7 linked regions of the Canis lupus familiaris genome follow. The protein of the gene in region 1 purifies or fractionates together with the protein of each later gene. This does not show direct contact. Links are inferred from orthologs where the notes say so. Each region holds a gene or a part of one and is shown on either strand. Other genes may lie near its edges.

Region 1 (2,965 bases):
TAGGCCTCTCTACGCTGATTTATTTCTTCGGCCCTCGCAGAACAGGATGTCAGAGCATAGACCTTTACCTGGAATCTCCTCTTCCTCAACAGATGTGGACTTTCCCTTGGCCACTCAAGAGATGAAATTCAAACCGTTTTTAAATTCAGAGTCCTTGACCTTTATAGCCTGGCCCCATCCAAGCTTTTCAAGATTGTCTCACACTGGAACGCTGGTAGCGGCTCTGTAAAGACTCTCCTGCCTCTGTTGATCTAAGACCTAAAGCTGGTATGGCCTCTGATGCCCTTCCTGAAACTACTCCATCCCCACAGCCAGTGGGCCCCACTGGGCCTTCTTCTCTATGCTGAGCCCCCACCCACATTAGTTGCCTGCCTTGACCCACGGGCTTTGATCCTCAGACTTCTAGAAGGCACTGTAAATATTCATCCAGCTCTCACTAATGTCCAGCCTGACGTGACCAGCCAAGAGTGTTCGGTTTGCTAAAAGAAGGGAAACCAACGGCCAGCTTGGCAATGAATTTATTAGTTCAGAGTAGAAAGAGCAAGAGTCCAACTGCTTTCATTCTTCAGTAAAAACCGAGCCTCTTGATTGGAGAGCTGCCAGCCTGCCCTCCCCCCTACTCTCCAAACACCTAGCCCTACTATTAAGGCACTTGAGAAAAGGGGGAACAGAAAAGTCTCGGACTGAACCTCCCTGGATCCTGGAAAGGGCCAGTGTTGTCCCACCAGTCCCCCTGGGCCACAGTTGAGCAAGGGAAGAGCTGGTAGAGACCTCTGCTGGGCCAGGGGGACAGGCCCTCAAATGCTGGTGTTAGTTTAAGGACAATGCCAGCACCACAGAGGGGCTGGTAGGGGGCATTATTTTGGCACAAGGTGAGAATGAATCCATGATTTGAGGAAGACACTTGGTGATAAGGCTCTGTGGCCTCAAAGGCCATAGCTCCAGCCCGGCCCTCTCTAGGAGAGTATTAGAAGCTGGAGGGTAGGGATGGGGGCCCCCAGAATTCCTTATAAAGAGAAGGGAGCTGAACATTAGGATAGTGGAAGAGTTTGAGTCCTCCCTGCTCCCCCCTTTCCAGAGAAGTTAATGCTTCTGCTTAAGCACCTCCAAAAAGAGAGACACTGCCAATAAAAGAATAAAATGCACCCCCCCCAAGACATCACCCAAAGAAGGTGGGGGCAGTTGGAGCACATACAACCCCCCCCCGCCCCCAGAATCCATAAGTGCTTGCTTTGGGAGGGCTTCCATCCCCTGCAACCCAGTGCTCTGAGCAGGGTAACACCCACTTAGGAGCTGATCTGACTCAGAAGGGCTGAGAAGTCCATGTCTGCAATGGAGGAGAAGTCTTCATCCCCTGAGAGGAGGCCGTTGGGGAGCCCAGAGGCCCCTACGGGAGCAGGAACTGGGTCAGGGGGCCTCTGGGACCCTGTCACCAGGCGTGTTATTGCCTCAGGGTACTCCATCAGCATGGGCTCGGCTGTGTGGGGGGCCACAGATACACCCTGGTTCAGCAGCTGCTGAAACTCAGAGTTGTCGACGGAGGCCAGGTCTGTGAACACGGCTGGGTCAGCGCTGTTGCCCAGCAGGGCCCCCAGGTCTTCATCAGCATCAAACTGCAGCTGTAGCAGGGCCTCTGTCAGCGTCCCTTCCCCGGCTTGGGTGGTCTTGGGGGCAGGGGGGGCCATGGCCTGAGCAAGGCCTGGGGCTAAGATTGGGGCAGGGGCTGGGGCTGGCGGGGCCGGGGCCAGGATTGGGGCAGGGGCAGGGGCTGATGCCAAGGCAGAGGTCTGGCTTGAGATCTGCCCCGAAGAAAAGACCATGGGGGAGAACTCCTCGAAGTTGATGGTGCTGAGGGATGGCGTAAAGGGATAGGACTGGGGAGCTGGGAGAAAGAGACAGAGAATCAGGGGCCAGAGGAAGCTGTAGAGACCCACCCCGTTGTCTGTGCCCTAGCCCCTGTGCTAGGGATTAGGATCAACACCTCCCTAGGAGCTCCCTGCCAGCACCCTCACTCCTTCCTTTTACTCCATCTGACCTGTGCAGTTCTATCCTCACCCCCTCCTGTGGGGCCCCACAAAGCTCTCCTAGCCTTTAAGAGAAAGGGATGCTGTCAGAGATCAGCTGGTAAAACTTCAAGAGACCAGGAGCCTGGACACTGAGCCCAAGTAGCATCCAGTGTCATGGCCTGAAGCAGGGCACTTTGTTACTCTTTTTTGTTACTCTGCTACCAGCTACCAGCATATACACTCTACTACATTGGAGGGGATTTTGCTTCCCTAATTCGATTGAGAGCTGAGGTCAAAGACTACATTTTTAAACTATCTCCCAAGGCATCCAATATGGGACCTAGCTGACACAGTGGCTCTCAGACCTCAGTGCTCACTAGTGCATTAGCTGCTTCCTGGGCCATGTTTCCAAAGCCTGATTGCACAGGTCAGTAAGGGGCCCGGGAATGCATGTCTTCACCACACCCCAAATGGCTCTGATGTAGTAACTAGGCCTCAAGCCCTGAGAAACATGAGCCCAACAGAGAGCAGGATTCAGACACCTGCTGGTGAAGCTGACTGCTTATCCCCCCAACCCAGAAGGTGTCTAAACCACAGGCTGAACAGATTTGAGCTTGTAGTTCTGGTGGGACAACAGGAAATCCTCACCTGGCTTGGGGACGGAAGTCGTGCTTCGGGAAGGCACAGCAATGCGCCGGGGTGGAGGCCGGGGGTCAGTGGGTCCTGTGGGGTGAGGATGGGTCAGTTCCTAGCCCCCACTTCCTCGTCCCCTTCCCCCATTGGCCACCTCTCTCATGCTCTCCACTGCCCCCTCACCATTGAAAGGACTCTTTTTCATGATGCTCTTGAAGGTCTCATATGTCCTTTTACGTTTCTCTTCAATCCGGTGACGATCATCTAGAAAAGTAATGGGGAGAAGTGGGCCTCGCTCTTTTCAGATGGATCCCCAAGGCTTTCAA
Region 2 (3,500 bases), on another chromosome or scaffold:
ACACTCATATAGTAACTGAAACTTTGTGATACATTTTAGTATCTGGCAAGGCATCTTCCTACACCATTCCTATTTATCTTTATTCATTAAAAATTTTTTTTGAAAGTGGAATGGTGGTTGCTAGGGGCTGGGAGGACAGGGAAACAGGAATTTGTTATTTAATGGTTGGAAAGTTTCCATGTTGCAAGATGAAGTTCTGGAGATCCGTTGCACAACAATGTGAATATATGTAACACTATACACTTATAAATGATTAAAATGGTAAATTTTATGTTAAAATTTTTACCATAATTTTAAATAAATAAATAAATAAATCCTTTAAAGAAACAATGTTTGGCTATTTTTCTCATCTAAGATACAGCTTGAAGAGCAAGTCAAGAGTTAAGAAATTCTATACGTATTTTGCTTATGCCACATTAACCTTCTCAAGAAGGATCAACATCTTTATAATAAAAGTCTGCAGGTAAAAAATTAAAGAAAAAGGAGGACCCAGGGTCACAATAGCAATCACAACTCATATCTGTACCACCAGCTTTGTGGTTTTTTGTTCAGGCATGCAAATGACAATGAACTGCAAGACTTTTGAAAACTTCTATTCAAAAAATGAAGATCCCCAAATGGAGATAAAGCCTCTAAGTTCACATGATAATTATCCAAGTTCTCATTTCTGTCCCTCATTTGAAAAAAGAAAAAAAAAAAAGCTAACATACAGAGTACTTACTTGTCAATGCACACTTTAATTTTAAGCTGATAATTTAACTCCGGGAATTTGACCAGCAATCTATTTCAAAAGAAAGTGGGAGGGAAAGTTTTTGAGTAAAGAAAAAAATATATCAGTTTTAAAAACAAGTCAATAGGCTCCACCACTAACTCCTACTCAAAGGAATACAGAATTCATAACCCTTCATTTCTAAAAGGTGAATAAAACACAATCCCAGATTCCTCTTCCTACTAGTGACATCTTTGACCTTACACTGAGTATCACCCCTTCAGGCCCATTGTTACTGATAGAAAGCGTAAAAACCACAAACTTGGACAAAGTTGTATGAGATTTACAAAAGGATAATGAAAGTCGTTTCATGAGAATTATTACAGGAACACGCGCTCTGCAGCTGGTATGCTTTCTGTTAAGCCTGAAACCTAACACCCAGTTTCTAAAGAGGGAAATTTCACTGCAGAAGACCAAACCCCAATATACCTGTCCTGACTTGGGTGTGAAAGTCACACCCCACCCTGCAGGCCCACCACCCACCTGCTCTATGGCCTCTTAGCTTCTATATCTCGATGCCTTACTCTTTCCCCTAAAATTCGTAGTGAAAAGTAGGCACCAAGGATAGAACATAACCAGCATTAGTATGCCTCTGTTGCAGGGATGAAGGAGACACAATGGCCCAAGACTATAGGCCTGAAATTGTAGGAATATATTCATGTAACCTCAAAAAGAGGTAATCATTCCTTAGCTTTTGACAGGAGAATTAAGAAGCAAATTGATACGATATTATGCCAGCAAATTCCATACCCACTATACTACCACCCGTGAGGCCTAGAAAGGAAAACTCTGGCCATCAACTCGGCTCTCATCCTAAGAACATCTCTCAATAAAATATCCACCAGGGACACCTGGGTGGCTCAGTGGTTGAGCGTCTGCCTTCAGACTAGGGCATGATCCCAGAAGTCCCAGGATCAAGTCCCACATCAGGCTCCCTGCATGGATCCTGCTTCTCTCTCTGCCTATGTCTCTGACTCTCTCTGTGTGTCTCTCATGAATAAATAAATAAATAACATTTATTTAAAAAATAAAATATCTACCAAAAGAGGAAATATGGGGCCCACCTGACTTTGGTAGTGAACTGGACGCCAGTCTTGATGACTAACGGCCGGTCAGGATGCATGGGCATGCAAGGCTGCCGCTCAACCACAAAGGCACTGAAAGGCAAAGAGGACAGCAGTCCACATATACACTCTGCAGTGAACTGGTTTTCGTTCTACGCCTCAAAGCAAAGGAGGTGGTGGGGTGGGGAGCGATGAGGGAAAGGAACCGGAATTCGAAGTTACCTTTTCATTAAGTTCCTAAACAGCTCTACAATCCTCTCCTCTAGCATTGGCCGGTGCTGGACGATGGGATCCCCTTTATAGGACACTTTTTGTTGTAACTCCTCCAGTTTCTTAATTTGTTGGCGGGTCTGAAGTTGTGACTCTGCTAATGAGGTTATCCTGCCAATAAAATGAGAAAGCTACCAGTTACTAAGTGAGTGCACACCGGTGAGCTGGAGAAGGGGAAGGGAAGCCCACAGATATAAACACCACCATGTAGTCCCTTCGGATAAGAAAGGGGGAATTTTTTTTTTATTGTGGTATAACGTAACATTTATCACTTGTGAGTGTATCATTCAGCAATATCAAATAAAAAATGGGGGGCACCTGGCTGGCTCAGTTGGTAAAGCATGTGCCGTCTGATCTCGGGGTTATAAGTTCAAGCCCCATGTTGGGTGCAGCGCTTATGTAAGTAAGTAAGTAAATAAATAAATAAATAAAAATAAGAAATAGGGATTTTGTGTTTTAACAGTTCCTTCTTAAAATTTAACATTTCAAAAAGAGCTGGCATAGAGGAAGAAGTGTTAAAACTTATATCCCTAAGAAGCAGGAATAGAATAATCATCAGAAAGTGACAAGAAAGGGTACCTGGCTGGCTCAGTTGGTTAAGCATCTGTCTTTGGCTCAAGTCATGATCTCAGAGTCCTGGGATTGAGCCCAGGGTGGAGCTTCCTGCTCAGCGGGGAGCCTGCTTCTCCCTCTCCCTCTGCCCTTCCCCCTCGATTATATTCTCTCTCTCTCCCCCTCTCTCTTAAAATAAATAAAATCTTAAAAAAAAAAGAAAGAAAGTGACAAGCATTCAAACTCAGGTATGGAGAACATGAAATATGAAATGTGGTACTGCCTTTATCCTAACCCATCCTTGTACCAAAATGTGGGAAGTGTAGGCAATTAGACATCCCAAGAGGATGGGCTTGAGCTAGCTCTGTCACTTACTATCTGTGTAACCCTGGCCACGTCCCTTTGCAGCACAGGTCTTCGTGTCCCCTTGCATGACAGAAGAGGTTGAAGCGCATGATTAATAAACACTAAAAGACCTTGAAGAGAGAAGGCAGAGATGTGGGGGTGTGTGGAGCATGAGGAGGAACAGGACAGCTGCTGAGATTTCTGGGTTCCCCAACTCTCTTTTGCCACTTACATTCTCCCATTGCCAGAACTTAAGCTTTCTGGGTCCCTGACCAGAAAACACTTAACACTGCTTTAAGTGAATTAACAAAATTCAGGGTTAGTGAGGATATGAACAAACAGGCTTTCTCATGTAGGGCTGTCCTAAATTTCCAATGTCATGCTTTAAGTCTCTAGGTGCCCCTTTATGTCAAATTTCTCATAGTTCAAGCCCATGCATCATGCACATTGCTGGGCCTTGCACATCTGGATGCTCAGCTCACTAAAGATCTGCTGCATAA
Region 3 (4,240 bases), on another chromosome or scaffold:
ATCAGGCTCCCTGTGAGGAGCCTGCTTCTCCCTCTATCTCCCTGCCTCTCTGTGTATAACTCATGAATAAATAAATAAAATCTTGAAAAAAAAAAGTCTCAGGACACTTACCTCCGCACAGCAAGGCCTCCTAGGAGTTTGTAACGCAGTGACTCTGCCTGGGCAATAGCACATAGACCTCTTGTGGCCACCTTTTCGGCATAGAGCTTTAAGAAGAAATCAAGGTACACCCTTAAACCTGTTAACTTTCCCCATTGTTTTCAATTAAAGAAAAAAAAAAAACTCATTCACCATACAAGCATGTGGTCACTGTGGCATCCCTCAAGTACTAAAACACTCCTACTACTCATAGGTAGCCTACGCTGTGACATAGTCTGAATCTTTCCTTATTGCCCTCTCATCCCTAGATACTTCTACAGCTACATCAAGTGATGGGATAGCCAATCCATCATACATATCATTACCATACTTAAGTTGAGAGTAAAAAAAAGTCCCTTAACCACCAGAAATGAGCAGAAAAGGCCTATAAAATAAAGCCTGCTACTTATTAAGACAACCAACAAAACACCAATTCATATGTAATACTTGGTGATAACTAAGGTCTTCATGACATTAAGGGTTTATAAAAGTAACCACCCTAAATAACCATTTCCAGGTCCACGGTAATCTCTGGCAAAAGGCAAAATCACTCACCTCTACACTGCCCTCAGGAAAACCAAACCTCTTCTGAACCACAGCAGTCAATTCCCGGATCCTCCGGCCCTTTTCACCAAGAACATTCTGTGTCCTGAGAAAACGAAAATACACAATAGCTCTCACAAAACTGCAAACATGGCTTTAAATTTTACATATATGTGGTAATGAAGTCTCACCCGTCTAACATAGAAAATACAAATTTTGGATGACAAGAGCTAGAATCAGATTTAAAAGGCAGTTACGAAAATACACATTTGTGGGGTGCCACGTTGGCTCAGTTGGTAAGTGTCTGCCTTTGGCTCAGGTCACTCAGGTCAAGATCCCAGGGCCCTGGGATCAAGCCCGGCAAAGGGCTCCCTGCTCCTCCCTCAGCCCCTCAACACCCCCTCCCATCCTCCGCTTTGCACTCTCAGTCAAATGAATAAAATCTTTTTTTTTTTTTTTCAAATGAATAAAAATCTTAAAAACAAAAACAAACCACTTACGTTTGCTAATAAGGCCAATTCACTGGTTCTCCCTGGAAGTTTACAGAATACACCAACCTAGCATATACAACAAGTAACAGGTGCTAACCAGGAAAATGAGATCTCACCTGGTGGCCAGGATAATGATTTCTGTCCTGGTTGGTGTAACTCGGACCTCAACCCCAGAGTAGCCATCTTCAGCGAGCTCCCGAGTGAGAAACTCATTCAGTTCAGCTTTGAAGATGCCATCAGCGACAAACTAACCAAAAGGGAAAATTCACAATTAGAACGTGGGATGGCAGGGTCATTGTCCTTCTGCCAATGCAACACCTCATACAAACATCCCATCATCACTCTTACTACCCTTGTTCCAACACAGAATTTAACAACCCTTCTCAGACAAATGCCTCTAGATCGTCCTTTGGAAGTTACTTTAACCCAAGGACCCTTAAAACTGCCACAGAACGCAGCAAGGAGTAGGGGCCGCCTGGCAAAGATAACACCTCCAGTCAGACTCGTCATCTTCTCTTCATTGAAGGGTTTTAAAGACTTCTTTAGGAGTAGCACATGCCAAACAAACAGCTGCTCTAAAATGGCACATTCACGGGATGCCCAGGTAGCTCAGCAGTTAAGCGCCTGCCTCCGGTCCAGGGCGGCGCAGGGCGTGATCCTGGAGTCCCGAGATCCAGTCCCACATCGGGCTCCCTGCATGGAGTCTGCTTCTCCCTCTGCCTGGGTCTGTGTCTCCCATGAATAAATAAGTAAAATCTTAAGATAAATAAAATAAAATGGCACATTCACAACTCCTTCTGTCTGCAGAGCAGAGATGCTACCTTTGTAACCCATGAAAATACGCTGCCTTCAGGGACCATCAGAAGACTCCCAGCCATGTTATCTTGCCTACAGTACATGTCTCACAAAGCTGAACTCTAATTCGAAAAAGTGTGTGGATTTGCACGACGCTGTGTACACACACAAAATGACAAGTTAGTTGCCTCTTTCTAAAGCAAGCGGACTTTACAGTTTCCGCCTGCGGAAAAGCGAAAAGTTAAAGCTCGATCCAGTGCTCTGTCCGGTTCTCCTCCCTCCCGGTTACTTTCTCCGCGGTAGAGACGGGGCAAGATACAGCAGCCTCTCCAACCGAGGTCTCGGGGGTCAGAGGGCCGCGCCCCGACACGAAGAAGGCGTGCACACGCCACCTCCCCCCCCCAAAGTCCTAGTGAGAGACATTAGGGGGAACGGCCCAACCTCTCAAAATACGCTTACTAAAGCTACCTGTTAACCAAGTAATGCTCCCAAGCGCTTTGTCTCGGGCGGGAGGGGCGCCCGGTGCTCACGTCTGGTCTTCGCCCAGAAGCGGCAGACGTCTCTCATCACTCCCTTCCGCCGCCAAACCGCGCTCGCCTGGCTCGGGCCTCGCATTCAATCCACCGCCATCCGCGGTCCGCGGGAATGCCACGCGGCCCAGGCCGCTTCCCGAAGCAGGGCTCGAAGCTGAGGGTCTCGCGACGGCATCTCGACAAGCCTCGACCCGCGCGGCACCACAGATCCCCGAACCTAGACCCCAGCGTCTTACCTTCCTCTTCTTGGAAATTTGCACCGCCATCTTGCCGCCGCGCGCCCCGGAAAGAAAAGGAAGTGGCTCGTGGGCGGAAGTAGGTATAAAGGGCGCGAGCTACGACAAAGAACTGCGCGACGTCGACGCCTGTAGGCGCTCCTGGGAATTGTAGTTTTTAGGAAGGCATTAAAGAGGGGAAAAAAAGGAGGGGTAATGGAGACACGTATAGGCAGAAACAGGAAAGGGAGCAGATCAATCAGGGGAGCTTAGGTCCAATTCTTATTAGCTTAAGTGAGCAACGTGAGGCGCAGAGATGGAAATTACAGGTATAAACTCACACAGCAACAGCGTGCAATCCTAGTCCCTGCACTCTACACTCAATGAAATTCGTTTAGGTCCAGCCCTTCTGTGTCCGTTTTCTCTGTTCCAAATGCTGGCGATATAAATATCTAATATTTATTAAATATGCTAGGGACTGTTCTATGCCCTTTATATTATGAACTCATTTACCTCTGCCTCACTTTCATAAAGTCCATTAAAACTAGTAACGGAAGTCACCAAGTAGTGGTTCATGGGGTCACAATTATTTTTCCGTTAAAAAAAACTGTACCCCTTATATTTTGAAATTTTCAAGCACACAGGAAGGTTGAAAGAATTATGTATATGCGTCACTAAGGTGATCCAATTAACATTTTTGCCATATTTGCTTTATCCCATATCTATCCATCCCTCTATCCACCCAAGGGTGCATCTTTTGATCTTTTTCAAGGTAAATTACAGCCCTCTGCACACTTTACTCTGAAACACCTCAACAACAGTTTTATTGAGAAATAATTGGCATACATCACTGTATACGTTTGAGGCATGCAGCATGATGCTTTGATTTACAAATATTGTGAAATGATGACCAAAATAGGTTCAGCTAATACCCATCGTGTCATACAGATACAATAAAAAGAAAAGAAGAAAAGAAAAACAAGTTTTTCTGTGATGAACAGTTTTATTTTAAATTTGAATAGTTTTTTTTTCAAAGATTTATTTATTTATTCATGAGAGACACAGAGAGAGTGAGGCAGAGACACAGGCAGAGGGAGAAGCAGACTCCCCACAGGAAGCCTGATGCAGGACTGGATTCCAAGACCCCCAAGATCACAATCTGAGCCAAGGGCAGATGTTCAACCACTGACCTACCCAGGTGCCCCTTAAATTTGAATAGTTTGCCTACATTTAAAAATCAGGAAACTTCTCTATAAAACTCTTTTAAGCTTCTCTTAAAAATACAGAAAGATCCAGCAAAATACTAGACCTACATTTCCTCATGGCAGCCCTCTCCTTCCCTGTTTTATGGCGAAGGGCTTTCCAACATGCCACAATCCCTGGCATCTTCACTCATTCATTGTCTGGCTCTAGAAGCCATTTGAGCTTTTCCCCAGCAGCAGAAAGAATCTGATGCAAAGTTCTGTCCTATACTCATGGAATCACCAGAGTTCTCGGGGGAGCAGAGCAGAGGGACCAGGGAAGA
Region 4 (3,864 bases), on another chromosome or scaffold:
CTACGCATTCCTACTGATTTGTAAGTGTACAGATACAGATCATTTTAGTAACACTTTGGGCATCCTTTCAGTGCAATGAACGCTATTACTTAAAAGTCCTGACAAACAGTGGAGGGTAGAACAAAAAAATACAGTAACGAGAGAAAAATAGTCCTGGCTTCATATTGCTTATTTGCATTTAACTGTTTTACAGCTGCCTCCTCAAAATATAAGCAAGAGAAGTGAGTAACAAATTTCCTAAGTTTTTGCTTGTTTGGGGGGCCTGATAAGAGATGAAGGAGAGATGCTACAAAGTCCACTGAACACCAAACTGGAATAATAATAATAAAGCTGTCTTTCTAAATAACACGCCTGTGCCTGTCAGTAGCTAGTTTATTTGCGTTTTTCACTGCTTTGTTTATATTAGTGCCCCCTCCCTCCTGGGTGCCTCCAGAGTTAAACAAGCAGGTATTTACCTCCAACTTAATCCTGAGCTTTAAAAATATAGACCAAACTCTGAGGTTCTTAAAATTTTCAATCATATTTATTTATTGCAGAAAAATAATATACAAAGATATTTACAAAACAATCATAAAAATATGAATGCATTTAGACACCGGATCTATTTGCATTTTACCATGGGTCATCAATAAATAAATAGAATGTTGTTTTTTGTATTTTAAGTTTTTTTTTTTTCTCTCTCAGAGGAAGACTGTAAAGAGGGTTTAACTGACTGTGATTTTGCAAGTCAGTTAGATCCCCGTATTTTTATTTCTAAAGACGTTCTTAAAATTCCTCTGGTTGGTACCATTTTAAAATGGAGAAAGTCCATAATGATGCCTTTCCTTTCAGTGGCTGATTGGCACGACCTCTTGAGAATGCATGCATGAAAAAATAAAAATAAAAACATTCTTCGTCAAAAAAAAAAAAAAAAAAAAGGAACACAAACAACTGTTCAGACTTCTATCAGAATGTAGAGGTGTGAGGATGGTGCCGCTGCCCGTCTGGGAATCACTGTCCACGGGCCTGTCTCGCTTTCTCTTTTAAAAGTGCGCCCCACGCCCTGTTTCTTTGAATTTGGGTTCTGCTCTTCTAATTTCCAAGAAAATCTTTGGCATATATATTTATTTTTAGTTATCCAGCTCCAGAGTCTCTAGACTGTCCATTTTCTCCTTCTCTGGAAACAATGACATCTGCAAAAACCCAGAAGGGGGGGGGGGGTTGGAAAGTTGGTTATTGTTTAGGTCTTCGTGGCTGTTTTCTAAGACTAGCGAGCACTGTTCTTATCACCACTACTGAGAAATTACGCTGAACAACCTGGAAGGATTTCAGCCCAAGGGCAAGAGGAAGTGGGTGGCCGGAAAGAAGGAGGAGGTGGAATTTGGAAGCATTTGTTTTAAGGAGAACGAAAACTTAGAGCCAGAAGAAAGGGAGGCGCTGGCAACCAGACTTGCCCTTCCCCACGACCCTCGAGTGTCTCTCAAGTCCTCCCTCCTGTCCGACACGCACACTCACGCACACGCAGCACACCCGGCACGGGGCGCGTCCCCCTCACCCTAGCGGGGACCGACCTGCCTTTCAGGGACGCTCGGGGGAAGAGGTGGCGGTGCCAGGCTGGGTGGGAAGGCTGATGGGGGGGGGGCGGGGGACGACCTGGGCGGGGGGGGGGGGGCGCGGAGGAAGGCCAGGTGGGCCGGGAGCCGCGGCCCGGCCGTCCGTCTGACCGCCCGCCACCTGACCCGCGGAGGCGCCGGTCCTTACCTAGGTCTCCGGCCCTGCCGAGGGGGTGGGGAGCTCCGCCTGCTAGTGGGACGCGGACATGGACCAGGCCCCCTCCATCCTCCAGACCGAGAAGGCGTAGCTGAGCCGCTCGTGGGCCACATAGCTGCAGCTTGCCATCTTGGAGTCCAGCTCGTCGCTCTGGAGGACCTGGTAGAGGAAGTCGATGTACCTGGCCGCCAACTTGAGCGTCTGGATCTTGCTCAGCTTATCCGAGGGCAGCGTGGGGATGATCTTCCGCAGCGCGGCGAACGCCTCGTTGAGCGACTGCGTGCGCTGGCGCTCCCGCACGTTGGCCATGACCCGCTGCGTCTGCAGCTCCTCGTACGACTGCGGGCTCCCGCCGCCGCTGCTGCTGCCGCCGCCGCCGCCGCCGCCGCCGCCGCCCGCCCCGCCGCCGCCGCCGCCGCCGCCCGCAGATTTCTTGCCGCGCTTGCCCTGGGCCGGGCTGCCCGGCTCGTCGCCGCCTCCGACGCCCCCGCCCGCGGCCCCGCCGGGCCCCGCGCCGCCGCCCGCGCTGCGCCGGCTGCTGCGCCGCTTGCGCCCCCCGCGCTTGCCGCTCGGCGGCTGCTGCCGGTCCGGCTCCTCCTCGCTGTTGCTCAGGCTGTCGTCGGCCGGCGAGACTGGCGAGCTGGACACGTCCTGCATCATCTCTCAGGTGGCAGCGCGCGGCCTCGCAGGCCCGGGAAAGGGAGGACGGCGGGGAGCCTCAGCCCGCCAGCTTCCCCCGCGCGCGGCGCCGGCCCGGGCGGTGCGGCCGCCGAGGAAGGGGCGGGAGGAGGCCCGGGAGGCTCTCGGCGGGGCGGGGAGGGCGCGCGGGGGAGGCGGGGAGGGAGGCGGGAGGGGGAGGGGACGGTGTGGATGGCCCCGAGGTCCAAAAAGAAGCGCCCAGCGGCCGCACGCACGCCCGGCCCGGCCCGGCCCTGCCCTCGGAACCGCCGCCGGTGCCGGCGCGCCCGCGAGGTGTCTGGGAGTTGGACGAGAGCTGCAGCCTCGGAGGCTCTTATACCTCCGCGCGGGCGGAAAGCTTGGGGGCAGCGGTGTCATTGGCCTGACGTGGGGAGGAGGGACTTTTCCAAGTTTTATAGGAAAGTTTCCGCTTTCCAGGCCCCCCTGCCCTCCCACCCCCTTCCTCGTCCCCACCCCCACCCCCCTTTCCGCGGGGTCTAACAATTCGTTCTCCCAAACCATTCAAAGGCGACCTGGCTGCGGCGGCCGGCCCTCTGCCCGCCTCCCCGCCTCCCCGCCTCCCCTCCCCGCCCCGCCGCCCTCCCCCTTCCCGCCCCGCCGCCCTCCGCGGGCCGGCGCGGGGCGATTTCCTTCCGCGCCCGAGCGCGCGCGGGCCGCGCCCCCGCACCCGAGCGCAGCCCCGGAAGGCGGCCGGAGGGGACCTTTCGGCCGCGGTGTCAGTCCCTCCCGGAGTGGATGTGACAGCAGCGGCAGCTCCGGCTACAGCTTCTACGCAGTGGGTGATGCTTCATCTCGCCCCTGTACCCTCTAGGTCCGCGGGGGCCGCTTTGGGATGGCCGGGGCGGGGGCAGGGGCAAGAAAACTGGCAGCCGCGGAGCTCTCCTCCCTATAGCCAGGTGGACGGAGGGGCTCCCCACCTCCCCACCTCCCCACCCCCACACCCCGAGTTGCAAAGCCCAAACCACCGCGGCTGGCCCTGAGGTCGTGGGCGGTTTTTGAAGACGTGGCCGCGACTGCGGGGACTGCGGCTCGGTGCCCCGGCCTGCTCTCACCCCTCCCTCAGAAGCATCTGGGCCTTCCTTTATCCCGCCACAGCGACCCAAGCCTAAAGCCGCTTGCCACCCCAAAGACTTCACCTCCGACGGGGCTAAAAAGAGGAAGTTCGTTCTTTTCTCGGAAGTCAGCCCTGTCCTCGGAGAAAGCAGCGGGCCGGAGAGGGACAGCGCAGGGTCTTCGCTGCGGCCCGCGTCGCCTGAGCTGCCGGCCCAAGGTGGAGGACCCCGCGGCCGTGTCATCCCTACCGTACCCCCACATAAAGCCCCACATCGTGACCCCTAAAGGGAGGCTCGTAAGAGAGCGAGGTGGGGTTCAAGCCCACCCCCCACCCTCCACCCCGAACCCGCGCAGCTGCCCGTT
Region 5 (4,039 bases), on another chromosome or scaffold:
AAAATAAAATAATCTGGGATGCAGATGAAGTAAGACTGTCCATTGGCTCATAAGGGCTACAGGTGGTGATGGATATATGGGAGTTCACTATGCTATTCTTTCAGAAATATTTGAAAGTTTCCTAATACAAAGGCTAAAAATAAATTGAATAAATGGTAGCTGTTATGATCACTACATCTTCATGAATATACATGAGAATGTAAGCCAGGATAACGGCTTATCTTTGTTATCTGTTCCCTTCCTCACAGGGCCTAACTCTGAGCCTTCTTTGTATGATAAAGCTCGGTATAAACCTCTCACAATGTAAATCACTCTCTTGCTTTGAGAGCACTTTGATAATTTCCCTCTACTCTAGGGATAAGAGCCCTAATTCATAATAGGGTTATTTACTTTTTACAGGCCCTGCCCCTCTCTTTAGCCACAATTCAGATAATTTTTCTTTTCATTTTCATTCAGTGAATGACCTTTTTTCTGTTCCTCAAGTGAGTGACACACCAACCTCTCACAGACCCTCAAGCACATGTTGTCCCTAATACCCACAACATTCCTGACCTCACCTCCTATCCTCCCAACCACATTTCATCTAATTAACCCTGCTCTTTCTTCAGATCTTACCTTAATCTCCATTACTTCCTCTAGGAAGCCTCTACTGATCAGCCCACTCCCAAGATGGGTAATTCCCCATGTATACACTCTCACAGTCTGCCAGATACCTCTCCTTCACAGGACTTAGCACAACTGTAATATTAAAATTTTGTTGTTGTGTATCATTGCATTGCCAGCACTTAGCACTGGGCCTGGCCTAGAGCAAATGACCAACATTTGCTGAATAACCAAATGAGTAAAATGATGATTCACTGACAAACAGGACCCCATTCATATGTTCCCACTGCTGTCACAAGACCTCACTCAAGTGTTCTCCTTGAAATTCTGGCATTAAAAAATCCCAGTTCTCCCCTCACCAGTCATCGCCCACGTTGAAGGCATTAAGGCTCTTGGTGAAGCCTTGCATATTGGTGGGGCTGACTCTCTGCAAGAAGTCGATGTAGTCCTCAGAATGAAAGCGGCACATGTCATGCTGGGAGGCCTGGTATGGCTTGAAGACCTCGGGATGGAAACATAAGGTGAACCCAGGCAAAGTCAGTCCTATTCATCAGGCTGAGATTCCCCACATTGAACCCAGCCCTGTGGACTATCCAAAAACCACACATCAGCAGTCCCCTCACCCCTCCAATTCTTGTTATTCTATGAAGCAAAGGTCAGTGAAGAAGAGAGGCTCTGATTAGTCAGGTGGGGTACTACAATCAAGCATCCAAAAAACTAATGGGCTTGCCTTCTCCTTCCTACTTCCAGCCCAACCTTTCCCGCCTTCTCAACCTTGAGCCCTTATCCACCTGCCCTGTTCCTTGGATCTCCTATTTTTTTTCCGCCATACTCATCTCTTCCCCCTGGCTCTGATTCCATCCTCTCTCTTCTCTGAATTCTTAATTTTAGAGTTAAATAATATGGGTTATATGACAACTTACTAATTAAAACCCCAGGGTGCCAAGGTGTGAAGCCAGAAATGTATTACCTTTTGAGGGGTTCACATACTTCTTTAGAAATTGGGCAAGAACAAAAAGCTTCTCTCCCGAGATAATATATACACAGGAATATATCAACAAACAATTTCAAGGGATTCAGAGATTCATGCACTAATATCACCTTGGTCTTTTCTATAATTAATTCGCTAGACTGTGCCTCAGCACAAACAGTAGACAACACTCATTCATACTATTGACTAATTCCCCTTGTGACGCATGAGGGCTGAGCTTAACTGTTATAATTGCCTATCACAACTATAAATTCCTATAAATGGGGATTGTCTGTCCCCATGTGCATATGTGGGAGATGGAGGACTGGGTAGCAATTAAATATAACCCTGTGAGGGTATGCTAAGTTGACAAAGAAATTCCCAGAACATCTCCTGCTCTCTTCCATACACACATTTGCACACAGGGCTGCAGTCCCTCCTGGAGCTATAGCTCCTTGGAGGTGGAGAGAGGTGGCAGAGAAGGGGTGAGAATTGCGGTGGGAACACGTCACATCCAGATAAAGTAACCCAGCCCCTCTCTCCTGAAGCCACAGCACTGCCCACATCCTAAGACGCTAGGGAGAAAAACACCTCTGTCTTCAAACCAGCCCCATTCCACCCTAACCACAGGCCAGAGGTTGGTCCACCTGAGGTCAAAAGTGGCCAACCTAAGGTTTGAAAAAGTAACTCCCATTAAGGCGGTGGATCCACCCACCAACACTGGGCATATGGCGGGTGCTCTAGGCTCCTTATATCCAGCCTCCCCAACCCCCAACCCCCAACCCCCACCCCAAGGGTGGGTCGCACCTGGTGCATTCAGGGCAGCCCACCTATATCGTAGGGCCACACAACTCGCCCGCACCCTTAATACCCAGCAGCGACGGCGAGACTCACGATCATTTTCTTATAGAGACCGTAGTGCAGGACCAGACTGTGGGTCAATGCCAAGCGATGGGGCTTCATAGGGTGCCCTGCCCCTGGGGTGGGAGAAGAGAGTTCGTCAGTTCCCGTCGTTGGAGTTGTAGCCCCCGCCTCGAAACCTCCGCGTCCCGAAACCCCTCACCTACAACCTCCTTTCCTCACCGTAGTGGAAGTTCCCCACATCGGGGTCGTAGAAATAGGCCACAGTCTTGGCCATGGTGCCGGCGGGACCAGGCCCCGCACCTCCACCACCACCCGCCCGGCCGCCTGCCCCACCCCCGCTCCTACGTGCTGCGTAAGCACGCAGCTTGCCTCTGCGGAACCGGGAAGGTGAGGCCCCGCCTCCCAGGCTACGCCCCCTGCGGAGTTCCGCCCCTCGCTCGGCTTCGCCCTTCCAAGTTCCGGAGCCTGAGCGTCTGGGCTCTACGGAGCACCGGGGGCTTCGGTGCTAGGATGCTAGTCATTTCCTTCCGGCGGGGGTCAAATCCTCAGGAATCTGAGCCGTCTCGTCCATCCACCTGCCCCAAACGGGGCAGGTCTAGGAGACTCGGGGAACCGGCCACGCCGTCCCTCTCGGGTGCAGAAAGCCAACTTCCCCTGCCGGCGGGGAAGATTCCCGGCTACCCACCCGACCGAGGCATCTGAGGGCGGGAGCCGCGCCAAACATGCGGGATAGACCAGTGGAGCGCGCTTTCTTCTGACTGCCTGTCCTCCCCACCCGGACCCAGACTCGGCGCCGCACACTCCCCCGGGGGGGCGGAAGGGGGGCGGCGGGGGACGGCGCAGTCACGCGCGCACCACACTTGCGCTCACAAGCGCGCAAGCCTCTCGCTCTCCGCCTCGCACACCTGCGCTCCGCCCCCTGGTCCCGGGTTGGCGGCTGGCGACTGGCGGAGGCATTTGGGAACCCAGGGCAGCTGCGGCGGCGCCCCCCACCCCCATCTCCATCCCCTTCCCACAGCCGGAGTTGTCCCGAGCCAGCCGCCGCTCGCAACCAGCCCGCATCCCTCTTCATCCTTCCCTCCCCCCGCCTGCCGCGGCACCGGTATCTGCAGCCGGAGCCCGGAGCCGGTGAGGTGGCGAAGGGGGGAGGGGGAGGAAGCAAGGGATGAGCGCCGGGAGGGCGTCGGGGGCCCTGAGCCGGACTAGGACGTCCCTGGAGCCGGAACCCGAGCCGGAGCCGGAGCCAGAACCAAACCACCGGTACCGAGTGGGCCAGGTGGTGAGGATGGGAGGAAGGGAATAGGGTGGCGTCGTGCGGGAATACAGGCAGGGGAGGGGGCTGCCGAGGCCTGGCTCAGGCCCGCGCGGAGGAGGTGCGGACGCTGACTCAGGCGCGATTCTTGCACCGGCCGCCTGAGAATTCCGTCCCGTCTCGCTCTGCAGTGTCCTTGGGAGGGACGGAAGCGCAGGACAAGCTGGAAAGGGGAACGCTCTGGGCGTCGGGGAAGCAGGATCAGGGTCGTGGAAGCGGGCTTGCGCAGCCGCCGTCTGGCACCCCTGCCCCGGACCAGCACCCCTGGCACGGACAGCTCCTTGGTTGGG
Region 6 (3,500 bases), on another chromosome or scaffold:
AATAGTCCTAATCACAGTACTGCATGTTCTAATCAGTGCAAGAAGCAAAAAAATAGAAATAAAAGGTAAAGCTACTGAAAATAAGAACAAGTCTATCAATATTTTCAAACAACTGTCTCCTCATTAATGTAACAAAAGCAACCAGACTATTAGAAATAATGAGCCTGCCAAAGTTGCTAAAACAAGATTAACACATAAAAATAAGGTATTTTTATATGCCAAAGCAATAATCCATACAATATAGATTAAGGGGAAATTCCATCATAATACAAACATGTGCTATATTATAAAAATATAACGTAACCAGATACCCATATTAAGAAATCTCCCAAATCTACAGGAAATACTTTGTACTCTAGAGGAAACCAATCCACCTACAAATGAGGATGCCTGCTTTCACATATTAAGTTGTATTAATGCTCCTTGGGAAAGAGCTCCCTGTAATGTAAATGTCAGTTATTCTCTGCTTTTGGCTAAACAAAATGAACAAAACAGCGCATTTCTCTGAAGGCACACTGTGATGAGATACACAAGCTTTCTTGTGATACACCTAGGCAGGTCTATCTGCAGGTATCATCTTCCAGGGCAGGAACCACTCCCATTTCAACAGATTACATACCACCAATGTGCGCAAACACAAAGTGCTTGCTGGGGCTCGAGGGTCAAGAGCAGCTTGCAAGTCCCAAACTTTAATTTTCCTAGAAAATAAATGGAGATTGCGATTAGTAGAAAAGTTAACAACATTTCATATACCGTCAGGAACTTCCTTGATAGAAAAAAGTACATCTGAACTGCTATTAGAAAAGCTAATGGAGGGATCCCTGGGTGGCGCAGCGGTTTGGCGCCTGCCTTTGGCCCAGGGCGCGATCCTGAAGACCCGGGATCGAATCCCACATCGGGCTCCCGGTGCATGGAGCCTGCTTCTCCCTCTGCCTGTGTCTCTGCCTCTCTCTCTCTCTCTGTGACTATCATAAATAAATAAAAATTAAAAAAAAAAAAAAAAAAAAAAAAAAAAAGAAAAGCTAATGGAGACTGCTTATGTCGTAACAAGTCATTTAAACCATTTACACTTGATTTTGAAAAAAAAAATAAGGACCTACACATTCTCGGAATTATTGAAACTGTGAAGAAATATTTTTTAAGGGAGATGAGAAAACAACTTCAGGCTATCTAAATTCAGTTCCTGACCTGATAATCTATGTCACCAAATTCATTAATCAGAGGGCTTTCTGGAGCTGAGTAGGTGCTGCTGACAGAAGCTAGGACTCTCTGTGAAATTCCAAGGATACCTTTCTTCGAACTAAGCAAAGGAGTATAAACAGACCAACTAGTCCATTTGTGAAGTATACATAAAGTCACCTTGAAAGGTTTACAGTTGCCATTTGCTCATTTAAAAAGTCCTGAGGCTTTTTTAAAAAAGAGTGTTTAACCAAAGGGTAAAGGAAATGGACCACTGAACACACACACACACACACACACACACGCACGCACACACAGCTAACTTAATTTAGGACTGAGGCAAAGAATGGAATTCCTGTACAACCTAAGCTACTTACAAAGTTTACAATAATGGTTACACTAATGGTTAAAAGTGTAAGCATAGGAGTTACAGAAGCTATCCTACTGTAAGACTTGGGGCAAGACCACTCATCCTTCTGGGCCTGAGCGGCTTCACCTGATCAAGTGGTATAATAACATCTGCCATCCATTACACAGATCTAGCACAGAATTGGCACATACATAGTTGCTTAATATACAGCGCTTGTTTTTCCTCTAGATACAGTGATAGTAGTGTATTTAAAAATTTGAAATACATACCCATCATAGGCCCCACTGACAATCCTCTTGTTATCAAACCGGATGCATCGGACCAATTCTTCATGTCCCTCTAGGACTCTTAAACAGGCACCACATTCAATATCCCATAGCCTTGAAAGTAAAACAGATCTCTGTGAAACAACTTCCCACACATGATTCACACTATCCTTGAGTTCTTCATGTCTGTCCCATTCATGATTTTCACTCTCCTGAACTTGTTTCTATCTTCACTCCCAGTCCACATTATACACGTAGAAAGATACATATGTATATTTAGATCATTTGTATATTTTAAAGCACTAATTTGGCGGACACAGGGCTAGCTGAGTCAGAAGAGCATGTGACTCTTGATCTCAGGGTCATGAGTTCGAGCCCCATGTTAGGTGTAGAGAATACTTAAATAAATAAAAACATTTTTTTTTTTTTAAAGAGACTAAATTGGGTAGAAGCCTTCTCATTATATTTCCTTTTATTCAGTTTTTTAATCACATGCATGTATTACTATTCTTTTAATTTTTATTCGGCATTCTTTTAATGTCTGAATTGATGAAACCACGTAGCTAAATGGTATAACAAGGACTTTCCTGGGGGAGACAGGGATTGCAGGCAGTAAAGAGAAAGAAAAGGCATGTGTGTGGGTTGAGGAGAGGATATAGTATGTACAGCCAGGGGTGTTAGGCTTCCAGGCCAGGCACTTCTGGCCTGGAATCCATGAGGCCTGCTAAAGTTAGAACCAGTACACGAGGGGCACCTGGGTGGCTCAGTGGTTGAGCATCTGCCTTTGGCTCAGGTCATGATCCTGGGGTCCTGCGATCAAGTCCCACATCGGGCTCCCCATGGGGAGCCACCTTCTCCCTCTGCCTATGTCTCTGCCTCTCTGTGTCCCTCATGAATAAATAAATAAAATCTTTAAAAAAAAAAGAACCAGTTCATGAGCATGGAGGTTTCCCTCTCCTGATGAGGCTTAGGGACACCCCCTCTTAGATGATACTGCATATTAGGGTTGTCCAGTTTATGAGGTCATAGTGGGAGCCTCTTATTAGGTATATGAAGCATCTCAGAAATATAAACCCACACAATATCCAGACTTTTTCTTGGTGTATGATTTATATGTGAAACTGAAATTTTCACATTTTTCTATCATTGGTTTTCCTACATTGTTTGCAAAAAGAAATCATAAGCACGTACAAAACAAAGTTAGCAAACTAATTCTGTAACAACCTTTTCTTAGCCTCTCTACAAGTAGCTCTTACCATCCGCCCCATGAATATTTTATGACAGCCACCCTCAGCAAATCTTCTCATCAGTGTCAGGGACACTGGCTTCTCTAATCTACTGTGAACAGTGTCATTTAGCACTACCACTGACTCCAAAGTGGTCCCCTCTATAAACTGTAAAGGAATACACATTATCACTTTGTAAAACCTCAGAGAGTCCAGTGAGAAAGTTAAGGACTGTCTACTGCTGAAATAGTTAAGTAATAGAAAGCATCAAGACTCAGGTTCTCATGGTACTTTCATAATACCTTAAAAACTTAAAACGATAAAACTCACAGCAGTTTCGGCTCTATCATTGTGGTTTCATTCCCTCCTTCCTTCTTTTTTTTTTAAACCAATCTTTATTTTGCCCAAACATTAAACAATTTGGTTAGAAAAAAAGCCAGGACAATGGAAAAATGACTA
Region 7 (4,098 bases), on another chromosome or scaffold:
ATATTTAAAAAGTCCTAAGTTTTCTTAGTAAATTAGTATTACACATGTTGAAGCAACAGTACTGCGACCAGGCCACACATGGAAAACTATTATCCCAAATTGTTTACATTCTCACAAAATTGCTAAACCCAGTTTCCCCCTCTTTATCCTCTTCCAGGATAGACCTATTAATTTAAAGAATACCACCTTGAATGGTTCAGGGGCTGTTTCTATCTGTAGAGGAGATTCTTGCAGGGGTATAATACCTGAGCAATGTTTCAAAATTTTCCAATGTGAACAGTAATACTGCTTTATATTCCACACAACCATAATAAAGCAAGATTCTTTCCTCTAAGTTGAAAAAGACCTAACGTTAAAACATTTAATGTTGTATACTTTCTAATAGTTTCAAACTGTTTCAAATCTGTTATGATTAAATACTCAATACATTTACATTCTCATTTCTACTGCACACGTGATGTCCCTACCCATCCCAGAAGTGGAAAATCTGGCATTCCAATTTGTCTTCAAGTTACATTAAATCTTCAATAGAATAGGAATTTTTCTCCAGCTCTCAGTAACTGCATCACATTTGATTTGCTGGGTTTAACATTTTCTTATCATTCCCTTCATTTCTTAATTTACAAAGAACCTTTAATTTGTAAAAAAACAAAAAACAAAACAAAAAAACCCTGCCTGATTCCAAGGTTTTAAGCTCATTTCTTCTCAAATGTCTTCTAAAATTACTTTTACTCTCAATTTAACATTTGTGAAAATCAAGAGTTTGGGGATCGTATCAATTTGAAAATAGGAAAACACCTTTCCTTTAAAAATGGAAAACAGCCTCGTCTGAGGCAAGATGGTAGTGAGCCAACCTCATGGATGAGCCACCTCGTTTCTCCCTTAAGGACAAGAAATAGGGGTCAAAAAAACTCACCCTCTACCCCATCCGATCATTTTTCTAATCCCTCTCCTCGAAATCGCTACACCCAAGCCCAGAAGGTAAATGCTGGGGGACTGGAGGGAGCTAGAACAAGCTTTTTTTGTAAAAATGAGCTGCTTGAAGAGAGGGCCCAAGTGAAAGCCTGAGAGGCGGAGTCGTGAGCGAACCTGGCAGGAGACGAGGTTCCTGTGGCAGAGAAACTCGTGACCGGGGAGCCTGGTTCCCGCTGGGTACCCCACCCGGCCTTCAGGCACCGCCTTTACCCAAAATGTATCCCCCCCGCCCCCAGCCCTCCTGCCCCAAGGAGCGCCGCAGCAGTCGCCCGCGGCCTCCTCCTCCCGGCCCCACTTCGAGGCCGGCTCCCCACCCGGACCGCCCGCGCCTCCCGCCGCACCCGGGAGCGGGAAACGCGGCCGCTGGCGCGCGGGGCCCGCTGCAGGCCGCTCCCCTCGTGGCCGCTTCCCTCCCCCACCCCAACCGCCCCCGCCCCTCACCCCAGGGACCCGCCCGGGGCCGCGCGGCCGCCACCGGGTTACACAACCCGGCCGGCGACGGGGGGAGGGGAGGCCACGGCCGGGGGCGACGGCGCCCCCGCAGGGCGGGGGGTGGGAGGCGACCGCGGGTGGGGATCCTGAGCCCCCCCAGCTCCGCCGCGCCGAGCCCCCTCGACACCCTTCCCCCTCCGCTCCTCAGCGGGCCGGAGTCGGTGACAGGAATCGGCTTCCAACATGGCGGACAGGAAGCGGCCCCGCGAGGAGGAGAGAACATTCCAGCCGCGCCGGCTCTGGGGGGAGCGGGCCCGGGCGCCGGGCTCGGGAGGAGCCGCGAGGGTAGACTGCGGGGTCCGGTGCCCAGAAAAGGCGCGCAGAGGTAGAAATGACTCGAGAGTCGAGGGGTCCTGGCCGCCCCCCCCCAGACGGGGAACCCCAAGGCCACAGGTGGGCTTGGGGTAGCGGGTGAGGGAGGACACTTCCTCAACTCTGCCCACCTACCCCCTCGCCTCGCCGCCTGCAAGAGGGTCTCGCGACACCACCCGCGTCGAGATTCGCTAGGCCTTCTAGAGATACACCCCGCGGGCTTTGGGGGGGTATGTTCACCCTAACTCAGGGCCACCAAATTCAGGTTCCTCTGGAGCCTCAGGAAGGTAAACGGGAAAGGAATAATGAGGCTAGATTCCCAAGGCCGACCCTGCAGGTCTCCCTCCAGCCCGGGCGGGGGCCGAGAAGGTCACACTGGCCTGGTTGGGCCTCTCCCATGCCGAGGAGAAGGAGAGGGCGCTGCAAACCCCGCGGCCCAGCCCGGGCTTTGGGAGAATGGAAGGGGGCTTCCCCGGACCCGCAGGACACCGAGACACACACACACACACACACACACACTCTCTCTCTCTCTCCGACCGCGTCCGCGCTTTCCACATCCAGCCCCACCCCCATCCCCTCTACCCCCCACCCCCATTCCCCTTCCCCCACTCGTCCTCCCTCCCAGACCTGTTTTCTTCTTCGGCGTTTCCTGGTGCTGCTGGAGGGTGTGTTTCTGCTCATGTTTCAGCGCCTTAGGCTGGGCCTTGGGGCTGCCCTCGGCTCCATGCTGCAGGTATTGGTGAGGCTGCTGGTGATGGTGGTGGTGATGGTGGTTGTGGCTGTGGTTGTAGAAATAATAATGGTGGTGGTGGTGCGGCGGCTGCTGCTGCTGCTGCTGCTGCTGCTGCTGCTGGGGGTGATGGTGCGGATGGTGGTGGCTGTGATGGTGCTGAGGCTGTGGCTGGCCGGGCTTCTCCTCCATTGAAAGCGGCTGGGACTCCCTGGCTGAGGCTGCGGGCTGCGGCACCGTCAGGATCTGAGACTGCTTCTCAGGGCTCACTCAGTATATCTGAGCGCGTCTAGCCAGCGCACTGGTTAACCGAGCGATTCTGCGAGATTGGCAGCGGCGCTCCAGCAATCAGGACGCACGCTGCGCCGCAGGCCCCGCCCCTAGCCCAAATCCTCTTTCCTTCCCCTTCGCTACTGCCTCCTGGCCAACGCCACTTACCCCGTGCAACCTCACAGGGCCGGGCCTTCAACGTCAGCACTATGGCTCTCTCTTCTGTCGCTTTCTCTCCTTCACCGCGCAGTCTGCGAACAGCACTTTCTACACTCCTCGCCCGCAAGCAAACTCACGTCGAGTGTAGCAGATTCCACTGGCGATTCCACTGGCTCTGGGAGCCATCTGTTGGTTTTGCACCTCCTAGAATGTTAGCTTTTTTTTTTTTTTTAATCCTTTTCCGGGTAATCAGAGGGGAAGCTCAGTTCCCTTAACCCTGAGAACCACTAAAGGGGCAATACAAAAAGAGGAAATAAATACATTTTTTAAGAATACAAGAGCTTCACAATCCAGTAGATCATTTTGTATTCTGGATTCATTTTGCTTTGTATTCATATGCTAATCTCTTCCTTTCCACGAAGGGATTATAGGGTTCCACAATGGGGTATCTGTGTAATTTTCTAAAAGGGCACAAAGGGTTTAAATCATTGTTTCTTTGTAGTTGGAGGCAAGGGAGAGCAGGAGGCATGAAAATCTAAACTCAACAGTGAAGTAGCTTTGTTGTTGTTGTTTTTAACTCCAGGTGAGGTCCACTGTAGAACCAAGATAAGTTGTAGAATATGAAGAGTTTCAGGAGTGAAAGGAGAGAGGGCACTTTAAAAGCTATTAATTAAAAAAATATTGCATGTATGGAAAATATTGGAATTTAAAGAAATGCTCCATTGATTTTGTAATGTTGATTTAATTTATCCTGCATTATCACATCACAACCTTATTTTTTTTAAAACCAAGGGTTAGTCAGGAACATTGTGAGTGAGAGTGTTACTCAGAAAGGAGGAGAAGCGTTTTGTTGGAGAGGGCCACAGGAATACCCTTTGTTAATATTTTATTTCTTGACCTAGATGGTGATTACACATGTATTTGCTTTATAATTACTTCTTAAACAGAATATTATGTATAATACACTATTCCCAATATATGTTACATCGAGGGGGATTTTCTTAATTTAGCATAAAACATGTTTAATTTACCACTTTAAACATTTTTAAGTATACAGTTCAGTGGCAGTAGGTACATTCACAGTGTTGTGCACCCATCACCACTGTCCATCTCCAGGACTTTTTCAACATCCCAAACTGAAACTCTGTACCCATGAAACA

What was found.
Region 2: the proteins of RELA (region 1) and STAT3 purify together in Homo sapiens (affinity purification with western blotting; 5 studies listed by BioGRID and IntAct, with this or other methods). This does not show direct contact. The link is inferred for Canis lupus familiaris from reciprocal best matches to the Homo sapiens genes RELA and STAT3.
Region 3: the proteins of RELA (region 1) and RPS3 purify together in Homo sapiens (co-immunoprecipitation; 5 studies listed by BioGRID and IntAct, with this or other methods). This does not show direct contact. The link is inferred for Canis lupus familiaris from reciprocal best matches to the Homo sapiens genes RELA and RPS3.
Region 4: the proteins of RELA (region 1) and TWIST1 purify together in Homo sapiens (affinity purification with western blotting; 3 studies listed by BioGRID and IntAct, with this or other methods). This does not show direct contact. The link is inferred for Canis lupus familiaris from reciprocal best matches to the Homo sapiens genes RELA and TWIST1.
Region 5: the proteins of RELA (region 1) and HDAC3 purify together in Homo sapiens (affinity purification with western blotting; 3 studies listed by BioGRID and IntAct, with this or other methods). This does not show direct contact. The link is inferred for Canis lupus familiaris from reciprocal best matches to the Homo sapiens genes RELA and HDAC3.
Region 6: the proteins of RELA (region 1) and FBXW11 purify together in Homo sapiens (affinity purification with mass spectrometry; 6 studies listed by BioGRID and IntAct, counting the BioPlex papers as one, with this or other methods). This does not show direct contact. The link is inferred for Canis lupus familiaris from reciprocal best matches to the Homo sapiens genes RELA and FBXW11.
Region 7: the proteins of RELA (region 1) and NUFIP2 purify together in Homo sapiens (affinity purification with mass spectrometry; 3 studies listed by BioGRID and IntAct, counting the BioPlex papers as one, with this or other methods). This does not show direct contact. The link is inferred for Canis lupus familiaris from reciprocal best matches to the Homo sapiens genes RELA and NUFIP2.

The regions. Positions count from the first base shown.
Region 1 is NC_049239.1:52,058,017-52,060,981, reverse strand, and holds the end of RELA (transcription factor p65), read right to left. Parts: exon of another isoform or gene 2,908-2,965; intron 2,904-2,907; coding exon 2,823-2,903; intron 2,730-2,822; coding exon 2,655-2,729; intron 1,883-2,654; coding exon 1,287-1,882; 3' UTR 501-1,286; downstream 1-500. UniProt on the Homo sapiens protein: NF-kappa-B is a pleiotropic transcription factor present in almost all cell types and is the endpoint of a series of signal transduction events that are initiated by a vast array of stimuli related to many biological processes such as inflammation, immunity, differentiation, cell growth, tumorigenesis and apoptosis.
Region 2 is NC_049230.1:20,469,442-20,472,941, reverse strand, and holds part of STAT3 (signal transducer and activator of transcription 3), read right to left. Parts: intron 2,215-3,500; coding exon 2,056-2,214; intron 1,927-2,055; coding exon 1,834-1,926; intron 782-1,833; coding exon 722-781; intron 1-721. UniProt on the Homo sapiens protein: Signal transducer and transcription activator that mediates cellular responses to interleukins, KITLG/SCF, LEP and other growth factors. Once activated, recruits coactivators, such as NCOA1 or MED1, to the promoter region of the target gene.
Region 3 is NC_049242.1:23,299,725-23,303,964, forward strand, and holds the start of RPS3 (40S ribosomal protein S3), read right to left. Parts: upstream 2,801-4,240; 5' UTR 2,767-2,800; coding exon 2,737-2,766; intron 1,699-2,736; exon of another isoform or gene 1,551-1,698; intron 1,420-1,550; coding exon 1,289-1,419; intron 788-1,288; coding exon 694-787; intron 207-693; coding exon 112-206; intron 1-111. UniProt on the Homo sapiens protein: Component of the small ribosomal subunit. The ribosome is a large ribonucleoprotein complex responsible for the synthesis of proteins in the cell. Has endonuclease activity and plays a role in repair of damaged DNA.
Region 4 is NC_049235.1:33,429,393-33,433,256, forward strand, and holds TWIST1 (twist-related protein 1), read right to left. Parts: upstream 2,523-3,864; 5' UTR 2,410-2,522; coding exon 1,783-2,409; 3' UTR 1,741-1,782; intron 1,173-1,740; 3' UTR 501-1,172; downstream 1-500. UniProt on the Homo sapiens protein: Acts as a transcriptional regulator. Inhibits myogenesis by sequestrating E proteins, inhibiting trans-activation by MEF2, and inhibiting DNA-binding by MYOD1 through physical interaction. This interaction probably involves the basic domains of both proteins.
Region 5 is NC_049223.1:35,742,557-35,746,595, forward strand, and holds the start of HDAC3 (histone deacetylase 3), read right to left. Parts: upstream 2,801-4,039; 5' UTR 2,712-2,800; coding exon 2,657-2,711; exon of another isoform or gene 2,637-2,656; intron 2,551-2,636; coding exon 2,468-2,550; intron 1,106-2,467; coding exon 963-1,105; intron 1-962. UniProt on the Homo sapiens protein: Histone deacetylase that catalyzes the deacetylation of lysine residues on the N-terminal part of the core histones (H2A, H2B, H3 and H4), and some other non-histone substrates.
Region 6 is NC_049225.1:41,241,322-41,244,821, reverse strand, and holds part of FBXW11 (F-box/WD repeat-containing protein 11), read right to left. Parts: intron 1,930-3,500; coding exon 1,819-1,929; intron 699-1,818; coding exon 620-698; intron 1-619.
Region 7 is NC_049230.1:43,380,461-43,384,558, forward strand, and holds the start of NUFIP2 (nuclear fragile X mental retardation-interacting protein 2), read right to left. Parts: upstream 2,801-4,098; 5' UTR 2,702-2,800; coding exon 2,407-2,701; intron 1-2,406. UniProt on the Homo sapiens protein: Binds RNA.